Drosophila melanogaster: one gene and its partner. Each later gene encodes a partner of the first gene's protein in a complex. Each region holds a gene or a part of one and is shown on either strand. Other genes may lie near its edges. The genes, in order: Zw10 and Zwilch.

Region 1 (5,128 bases):
CGTTGTAGTCGGCGGGACTGACGCAAGCAATCATCAGCGTAATGGAATTACCGCCCAGGGAGTCCTGCAGCAGACGCGTCAGCTTGGACTGGCGATAGGGTATGTAGCCAGCGGCCTGGCCAGCTGCAATTTATATGGAATATATAAAAATGGAGATCAATTTTCAAGCCAGTGGCTAAATGATAGATACTCACATCCCAGGGCATTGATCACGTTGCCCAGGGCCAGAAGACCCTTATTGATGTTCACACCCTCTTTGAACCGATCGCCGCTGGCTAGGGTCTTTGAGCAGCGTTCAGAACCAGCCAGATCCACCAGGTTGAACCTGGACGTGGTAACGGATTGCCTATCGGAGATTGGAGGTCAAATGTGTATAAGCATTAAGTATTCTAACGAGGTGATGGCGGCCCACAACATACTTGCCGTCCAGCTTGGTGGCTACTAGCGTCAATGTGAATATGGCATGGGATCTTGAAGAGGTTTCATTCATAGCCGTGGCGGCCACAGCCCGTCCGGCTGAGCCGCGGATCAGATGATCGGTCACTTGCTGGGCGGATGTGACCACTAGCTCGGTGAGGCCCGGCATGATAATACGGTTCTTGACCTCCCTGATGTCTACGGTGGCCTTGTCCCGAGTTTTCGACGAAAAAAGGTCATAGAACTGCTCCTGGTAGAGCTCCACAAAAGAGCATGTGACAGCAAAACGAAATTCGCTCTGCATTTCCGCAATGGCTGTGAATATATCATGAACGGCGCGTGGTATAACGCCCACATGGTCATCTAACACTCCGTTGAAGGCGGTGCCCATAGTGTAGGTCTTTCCGGAACCCGTTTGTCCATATGCCAAGATTGTTACGTTATAGCCATTTAACAGCTTTTTCACTTTGGCCTGTACACACGTCTCGAATAGATCCTTTTGCGAGTCGTCAATGTCGAAGACATAGTTGTACGTATACGACTCATTCCGGTTGACTGTAACCTGTGGCGCTCCATCCGCCGATCGTTCGACGGCAATCCGGCAGCCGCGATCCAACTCGGACTGCACCAAGGGGCGCACGCGCAAGGCCACTGCCACACAGCTGGGATCCTCGCTGGACATCTGGGGGTAGGGGGAGGGAAGGACAATCATAACATTCCATCACCTTTACCGCCATCTCGACCAACACCACCAACCACTTACCTTCTCTGGGGCACAGCAAGTCCGACTTTGGTTAACTGATCAACTGGTTAGCACTTACAAAAACTTAGAATTTTGGTTGGTCTAGATTTTGGAGCAACGCGGCTTCTCCACGCGCAGCCCGGCACTCTCAATGAATTCGATTTTTGGATCAAGGAACTAAACTAATGAAACGCGACGCTAAGAAGCAAATGCATTTCTGCCAGTATTTTTAAAAATGGCGTTGTTATCGATTCGTTGCAGATGTCGATTAGTGGCGCGATCGACGGAGGTGCCGGTGTAGAAAGATTTCGATTTTTTTATAATTTGGCTCTTGAATAGCACATTTGCAAAAATGTGGTTGGACGATTTGTGCACGCCGATTTGACAAAATGAATCATTGACAGTGTATCTACATACTTATACATAAAAATAAAAGCTACCTAGATCTACAACTATTTTAGCTACTGCCAGTGATAAGAGCCCAATTCTTGTCAACTAGCCAATTCGCCGATAGCCGATAGCAGACAGCCGCACATATCTATCGCTTTTTTGAACAATCGTTGGTAGCAACAGGGAATTGCAGAAACCAGTTGTCTTGGGTTTCGCAAGAATTGGAAAAGGAGGATCTGGTCAAAGAGCAGGACATGGAGGAAGAGGCGCCGCGGTTCAATGTGCTGGAGGAGGCGTTCAACGGCAATGGGAACGGGTGCGCCAACGTGGAGGCCACCCAATCGGCCATATTAAAAGTGCTGACGCGCGTTAATCGCTTCCAGATGCGCGTCCGCAAGCACATCGAAGACAACTACACGGAGTTTTTGCCCAACAACACGTCGCCGGACATATTTCTGGAGGAGTCGGGGTCCTTGAATCGCGAGATTCACGACATGCTCGAGAACTTGGGTTCCGAGGGACTGGACGCCTTGGACGAGGCGAATGTCAAGATGGCGGGTAACGGCAGGCAGCTGCGAGAGATCCTTTTGGGTCTGGGTGTCAGCGAGCATGTGCTAAGGATCGACGAGCTGTTCCAGTGCGTGGAGGAGGCCAAGGCCACCAAGGATTACTTGGTGTTACTGGACCTTGTCGGTCGTTTGAGGGCTTTCATCTATGGCGATGATTCCGTTGACGGGGACGCGCAGGTGGCCACGCCAGAGGTTCGACGCATCTTTAAGGCTCTCGAGTGCTACGAGACCATCAAGGTGAAATACCATGTACAGGCATATATGCTGCAGCAGAGCCTCCAGGAGCGCTTCGATCGCCTGGTGCAGCTGCAGTGCAAATCCTTTCCCACATCGCGTTGCGTCACCTTGCAGGTGAGCCGGGATCAAACGCAGCTGCAGGATATTGTGCAGGCTCTCTTCCAGGAGCCCTACAATCCGGCGCGCCTCTGCGAATTCCTGCTGGACAATTGCATAGAACCGGTGATCATGCGCCCAGTGATGGCCGATTACAGCGAAGAAGCCGATGGTGGCACCTACGTTCGATTGTCGCTTTCCTACGCCACCAAGGAGCCCAGCTCAGCGCAGCTTCGCCCGAACTACAAGCAGGTCTTGGAGAACCTCAGGCTGCTGCTGCACACGCTGGCCGGGATCAACTGCAGTGTGTCCAGGGACCAACATGTTTTTGGCATTATTGGCGATCATGTGAAGGATAAAATGCTGAAATTACTGGTGGACGAGTGCCTGATACCAGCTGTGCCCGAAAGCACGGAGGAGTATCAGACATCCACGCTGTGTGAGGATGTCGCCCAGCTGGAGCAGCTGCTTGTAGACTCATTCATCATCAATCCCGAGCAAGATCGAGCCCTAGGGCAGTTTGTAGAGAAGTACGAGACCTACTACCGCAATCGGATGTATCGTCGAGTTCTGGAAACGGCGCGGGAGATCATCCAGCGCGATCTGCAGGACATGGTGCTGGTGGCGCCCAACAACCACTCAGCCGAAGTGGCAAACGATCCCTTCCTCTTCCCACGCTGCATGATCTCGAAAAGTGCTCAGGTAAGTCGTTCGCTAAACGAAACGATTGATTACGCACTAATGGATTCATTTTCGCCGGCAGGACTTTGTCAAACTAATGGACCGCATTCTTCGCCAGCCCACGGATAAACTGGGCGACCAAGAGGCCGATCCCATAGCCGGCGTCATTTCCATCATGCTGCACACCTACATCAATGAGGTGCCCAAGGTGCACCGCAAGCTGCTCGAGAGCATTCCACAGCAGGCCGTCCTGTTCCACAACAATTGTATGTTCTTCACACACTGGGTAGCGCAGCATGCGAACAAGGGCATCGAAAGCTTGGCGGCGCTGGCCAAGACACTGCAGGCCACCGGTCAGCAGCATTTCCGCGTGCAGGTCGACTACCAATCCTCCATCCTGATGGGCATCATGCAGGAGTTCGAGTTCGAGAGCACGCACACGCTGGGCTCTGGTCCACTGAAGCTGGTGCGTCAGTGCCTTCGCCAGCTGGAGCTGCTGAAGAACGTGTGGGCCAATGTGCTCCCGGAGACCGTGTACAATGCAACCTTCTGCGAGCTAATCAACACATTTGTCGCCGAGCTAATCCGTCGAGTGTTCACGCTGCGCGACATTTCCGCACAGATGGCCTGTGAGCTGAGCGATCTCATTGACGTGGTGCTCCAGCGGGCGCCCACGCTTTTCCGCGAACCAAACGAGGTGGTCCAGGTGCTCTCTTGGCTTAAGCTGCAGCAACTGAAGGCCATGCTGAACGCGTCGCTCATGGAGATCACAGAGCTGTGGGGCGACGGCGTCGGCCCGCTGACCGCCAGCTACAAGTCGGATGAGATAAAGCACCTAATCAGGGCGTTGTTCCAGGATACGGATTGGCGGGCCAAGGCCATTACGCAGATTGTATAGGGCGCGTGCGCCTTTTTTGCGAGCGAGGAATGTTGAACGGCGGATAGACATCACATTTGAGGTGGTAAACGGAGTCTAAATTTGATGATCACCATCAATGTGTCCTTACTTTAATTCCTTGAATTGTTTACCACAAATGCCAAAAGTAATAGAATTTGATAATCTTTAATTCTCCGAATGGTTTCTGTTGTACATAGAAAAGTAATTATCCACAAAAATCCATTCCATTCTTCCCGCAACGCAACACAATATTTAACTTAAGACTTATTTAAATGAATAAAAACAACTAAATCCCATTAGTGCGCCTCTTGTCGCGCTTGTAGAACGAGCATGTATAGCTGCTCAGTAAGCAGTCTGTGATCTCGGCCGTGGGTGACGGTTAGGATGCGTTGGGCCTCCTCCAGATGGTGCAGTGCCTCCTTGGAATGGCCCTCGTAGAGCTGAATCTTGCCCAGCTTCATGTGAAGCAGGCCCAATAGCGGATTCCAGGGTCCGTGGTATTTTCGAAAGCCTGGCAGCAAACGTTGCCCGTAATCCAGGGCGTCGCTCCACTTGCCCACTTCGATGGCTGCTTCGAAGGCCGCATCGAGCGTCTTGACGTACCACACATTCAGGGGATGGAACACGCCAGTCTGCTTGTCCAGACACACCTTGCACACATCGAGATCTGTGATCGAGAGAGTGAAAATGTGCTTATTATGGAGCTAATTCCATTTCGTCGCATCTACTCACAGGCCACGTCCTTCATGTTCTCCAGATTGTGCCGGGTCAGAGTCATCGCCTCGTTGAAGGCATTTCTCAACTTGGGACTGATGCCGGCATCGCATCGCGGGCAATTATTGCGGTCCACACTGATTCCCGCACCGCAGTTGCGATTGGGACACAGGGCAGCCAGCATCTCCTTCGATTCCTTGGCATCCGTGCACTTGCTGCACACGCATAGGAAGTAGTAGTGCTCCTTGAGGTCCAGACGCCTCTGCTCCGGCGTATTGAGCAGGTCGATGTAGCTGATGAAGATTTTCGACCAGTCCAGGCATTCCATGTCCTCGATCGCGTGGACGTGCAGCTCGTTGCCCTCGAAGGTGGCGACCGCATTTG
Region 2 (4,960 bases), on another chromosome or scaffold:
GTGGAAATCCTTGCTTGAAATTCCGTTCGCTTTTCAGGGGAAAAACAGGGCTGGAAAAAACACGACCGAACCGCTGCGCGTTCCACGCACGTCTGACAAACTGCAAATCAATCAGCGACGGGCCAAGTACTCTAGTTGGCCAACTGGCGCATCCGGCTAATTGGATTGTAACATATCGGGAATGCTCGATGGCGCCGTCACCATTGGGCACACACTCTTTTCGCCTCATTTGCAGCATTACTTCACTGGAGGAATGGCCAAATGCTGGTCATGCTGACCTTTGTATAGAATATGGCCGGCAAAAACACTGTGATAAAAGTGCGAGCAGGGCGGAAGCGGATTTCGGCCAGGTTTTCAAGATTCCCAATGCAGCTGCAATAGCCTCTGGGTCGGCTTAAAACTTGTACGAGTTCGTTTAACATGATTTCGGTGTGCACTGCTGACTTTTTTGGAGGTTTGCGAAAACGCGTCGAAGAGCGTGTTCAACAAGCTCAAACAATTAAAATTCCGAACAAAAAGGTTCGATAGAAAAAAAGTTTGAAAAGTTATAACCAAAAGGCATTTAATTTAATAATACAACAAGCAGTGTTTGAAAAAATTCAACATTTTAAATGTGTCTCAAAACATTATGCAGCTAAGGGACATTCTTGCTAGATATCCATTAAATAAATTATTACAATGTGAAAAAGGCCATTTTAAACCATTCTTAGCCATGCTTAAATTTAAAGAATGTACAATTTTGTATTACTAAGCAAGCCTTACTTAAGTGAGCGAATCTTGTGATATATCCAGGAATGATATGTGCGCTCCTTGACCATCTCCTTGTCTGCGAAGTCAAATATATTACCATAGCTATAGAAAATAAACAAGTCAAAAAGCAAACTTACCATCACACTGGAAACACTGAGCCAAGTTCGGCGGACAAATGTTTTCCGAATTGAAATAGAAGGTGGTCTTTAGTTCGCGGAACTTGTTGTGCGAACGCATGGTAATGTGCCGGGAGTAGGGATCCTTGCCATCCAAGTGATCCCTCACATAGTGGGCAGACAGGCGAATGTCCATAACATCACTTAGCTGATCATCGATGGATTCTACTAATTTAGGCGGTTTCTTCAGCAATTCAGAACAGACATCGTTGTAAACTGTAGGTCAAAAACGGAGTTATAGCTAAAAATCCCAGGATCTGCTTTTTGTCCTTCTTACCATTTGCCAGATTTAAGTGGATGTGCATCATCAGGAGATGCTCTAAGGTGCAGTGAATCTGAAACAACTTTGAGATTCTCTCCGTACTCTCGTGCTCGTCGAAATGGCTGTTTTTGAACCCAGCATCATCGTCGCTACCGGCATATTTTGTACTCCGCGAATTGACAGCGCCGTGATGATGCAGCAGCGTCTTTCGCATTCCAGCTCCAGGGGTCGGATCACCCCTGACCGCATTGTGCAGGGATTTTCGAAGCTGGGGCAGATTCTGGGGAGAACCATCGTCCATCGACGCTCCGCTGGAGTCATCCTTCAACAGATTGGTGCTGCACATCTTGCTCTCGGTGTAGATAAACTCGTAGTCCTTGTACAACTTCTCCAGGCCAATTTCCAAAAGCAGTTCCAGAGGCTCGGCCCCACTTAAACAAGGCATGGCCAGACGACGGTTGGCCAACTCGGTGATAATCTTGGCAAGTCGATTTTTGTTAGTAGGCGTGTTCTATGGGGTGAGGAACATGAATAATATGTGGTGGTTTGCATGCATTAGCATACTTACTACTATGTTACACCGTGCAGCACATTGGAAGAGCATACTAAAGGCAATTTTGAGATCCTTGTAGGAGTGGCAGCACTTGAGCAGCTCCCAAAGCTTATCGGTTAGATCCGTGAGCTGGCGAACCTTGGCCCTCTGCACCACATCTTCGATGTCAAACTCCGCATTGCTGATGCTATACCGACCTATAAGGCCAGAGACATCTGTCATTGTCTGATTAATGGACTCGCGCAGCTCGTCCATGTCAATGCCACTGCCACAACGATAGGTGGGATCCCGAGAGACGCCCTGCTTGACATCCGTGTGGTAGGAGACGATGTCCTCGCGTATGTAGACCAGAATGCGCAGCTGATTCATAAAGTCCTGCGTCAAAGGACCGCAGTCGCCCACGCGAAAAGTGTGATTCAAAGCCACATCGCAGTCGTTCAGGTTCACCAGGAGCGGAAGTGCAGCACTAGAGGTCCAGGAGCAGCGTAGTCTCATGTGGGGATTGACCTGGTAGCTATTTTCAATGAGAGTTTCATCCGGTGTCTTGCCATGATGGCGCACCAGGGCTTGCGAGGTTACTAAGTAAGCAGGGCGCACACCCTGGTAGCTAAGTATTCCCCTGGAGAAGTGCGTAGGGTTGAACTCGTACTGGAGCAACTGAGTCTGCCCGAGATCACTGCCGTCGCACAAAAACCACACGGATCCGAGTCCCTCGGCCAGCTGCAGGAACTCGGAGCACACGATGGACCTAGCCTTGTCCACGGGTATTCCGCGTTGATATTCCTCCTCCAGCTTCCAGGGATTCGAGTGATCCAGCTGCAGGTCGATGGACAAGTCGGCTATGGCGTCCACCAGGCAGTCGTCCTTCAAAGGACTTCCCGTCAGATCCAAGTCCGCAGAGCCCTCTTTTTTTGGGGCTGCCCTGGTGGGCGTGGTCCGGAGTCTCGCCACTGCTCCATTGCGATCCTCCTTAAAGACCAGCACAATCTTCTTGCCAGCTTCCGCAGCCCCCACCATGCTCACCAAGTAGGTGGGTGGCGCTCCATAGGTGATCGTGTATGACTCGCCACACCGCCGCATTAGCTCCGCGTAAACGTTTGCCAAGTTCGCAGAAGCCGACATTTTTGGAGCAAATTCGCAAAACAGAAACAAAAAGCGGCAGTATTTGAAAAGCGAAGCGAGAATTGGTTAAACGGTCACACAGCACTTCGCTTTTTAGTGCACCTCAATAATTTTAGCAGTAAGCCGCGTGAAGGTCACACTGCAACATCGATAGCCGATAGACTTAGGCCAGCAACAATCGATAATTCTTATCCCCGCACGTGTTGAAATTGTTTTCTTTTATTTGGATCAGATTTAATTTAGTTAATTCAGACATGTCGGACTTTGAAATGGAGGACAGTGCCTCGGGCTACGACTCAGGGGATAACTCAGATGCCGAGGTAAGTGAGGAACCGAAGAAATGAACACCCCGTATACCAAAATCTCCACTCTTTTCCTGCAGCTGCAAGCGGCATTTGAGCGAGGCGACTTGAAACCAGGCCTAAATGTGGAATTCAATGGCCAGAGAGACAAAGTGAACGATGTGGTAAGTAGCTAGCTGGATGCCCGCTTTTGAATCGACTAATCCAATCCTGCCCACATAGACCAAACTGCTGGCCAAGACAGAGGCTATCAAGATGCAACTGCCTTGGCTGGAACGCCTGGACATGATCAACACACTAGCTCCACTGGCGCCGGAACTCGCTGTACAGCTGGAGAAGCACGAGCAGAAGCGGGCCAATCTCTTCAAGGGCAACGCCAAGCTGCCCTACATTCGGCCCGAGGAGGATCCCGTCCTGAATGACTTCAAGAGGGAGATGCTCTTCCACCGACAGGCGCAAAGTGCTGTTCTGGAGGCCATTCCCCGCCTTCACGAGCTGGGCATAAAGACTCGTCGACCCGATGACTACTTCGCTGAAATGGCCAAGTCCGACGAGCACATGCAGAAGGTGCGCGCCAACCTGATGGCCAAACAGCAAGGACAGGCGAAATCCGAGCGCATCAAGCAGATCCGCGAGCAGCGCAAGATGGGCAAGATGCTGGCCAAACAGACCAAGGTCCAACGCGAAGCCGAGAAGAAGGACATGCTGGACAAACTGAAGAAGTTCCGCAAGGGCAAGCTGAAAAACCTGGACTTCCTGGAGGACGCCAAGGCGCTTGAGTCCAAGCAGAAGCAGTCAGCCGAGAATCGCAAGAAGCGCAACAAGAAGTTCGGCTTCGGCGGCAAGAAGAAGGGCCTCAAGAGGAACACAAAGTCCTCCTCCGCGGGATTGGATGGCGACAAGTCCTCCAGGCGCCAGCGGGGCGTAAAGGCAGGTGCTTCGGTCAACAAGCGGCTTGGCAAATCGCGACGCATTAAGGCCAAGGGCAGAAAGTAATCCCCGGGACTGCCGACTATATTTAGGTGACCAAACTCTAGTTTTATAAAGCCCCCAATCCTGTATAGATTTTTTAGACCCATAAATACATAACATTTTGTGTGCACACAGCCTTACTTTCGAAATGTGGAATACTCCGTATAGAATTTTAGAATTCCATGAGCAATTTTCATAAATTACATTTTTCTAACATCGTTTATTCTAAAGTGGACTATAACTATTACACGTTCTCCTTGTTCTTTCGTTTCTTTTTTAGTTTTGTGCTAGTTTCCGATTCCTCCGAAGAGTCCGCCGTTTTTCGCTTCTTTTTTGACTTTACTTGTTCATCAGTTTCAACATCCTGGGGCAGTCCTTCAGTTGCTCCAAGCCCTGCTTGCCTATCCGCTCTCTTGTCCTTCTTCTTTTTTATCTTCACTGGCTCTTCGACTTCCACACCGTCTTCCTCTCCCGGCTCCCGTGTCTTATTTTTTTTCCTCTTGATCTTGACGGGATCTTCTGGAGTTTGATGTGCTGGGGATTCCTTTCCTGCCTTCTCAGCCTTGTCTTTCTTCTTTTTCTTGGATTTTATGGGCTCTTCCAGTTGGGAAACCTCACATGCCTCGGAAAACTCCTCCGCTATGGATTTTTTCTTTTTCTTTGCCTTCGTATCACACTGCTCCACACTGTCATCAACTGACTCCACTGCTCGATGCTCGGTTTCAGGCGTAGTCTTCAGCTTGCGCTGAAGCTTCTCCAGCATCTCGCGCTCCTGCTGCTCCAGGCGGGCGATCTTTCCGCTCAGCTTTAGGCCATGCCGTGC

What was found.
Region 2: Zw10 (region 1) and Zwilch share a complex: the UniProt entries of both Drosophila melanogaster proteins name them as parts of the RZZ complex.

The regions. Positions count from the first base shown.
Region 1 is NC_004354.4:2,602,500-2,607,627, forward strand, and holds Zw10 (Zeste-white 10), read left to right. Parts: upstream 1-1,697; 5' UTR 1,698-1,803; coding exon 1,804-3,153; intron 3,154-3,214; coding exon 3,215-4,030; 3' UTR 4,031-4,325; downstream 4,326-5,128. Other genes in the region: Klp3A (Kinesin-like protein at 3A), read right to left, coding at 1-123, 195-346, 420-1,099; Smyd3 (SET and MYND domain containing, class 3), read right to left, coding at 4,327-4,697, 4,763-5,128. UniProt on the Drosophila melanogaster protein: Essential component of the mitotic checkpoint, which prevents cells from prematurely exiting mitosis. Required for the assembly of the dynein-dynactin, Mad2 complexes and spindly/CG15415 onto kinetochores.
Region 2 is NT_033777.3:31,210,427-31,215,386, forward strand, and holds Zwilch (zwilch), read right to left. Parts: upstream 2,951-4,960; 5' UTR 2,864-2,950; coding exon 1,757-2,863; intron 1,700-1,756; coding exon 1,204-1,699; intron 1,143-1,203; coding exon 888-1,142; intron 827-887; coding exon 759-826; 3' UTR 540-758; downstream 1-539. Other genes in the region: CG1542 (uncharacterized protein), read left to right, coding at 3,118-3,183, 3,246-3,329, 3,388-4,161; CG15561 (uncharacterized protein), read right to left, coding at 4,382-4,960. UniProt on the Drosophila melanogaster protein: Essential component of the mitotic checkpoint, which prevents cells from prematurely exiting mitosis. Required for the assembly of the dynein-dynactin, Mad2 complexes and spindly/CG15415 onto kinetochores.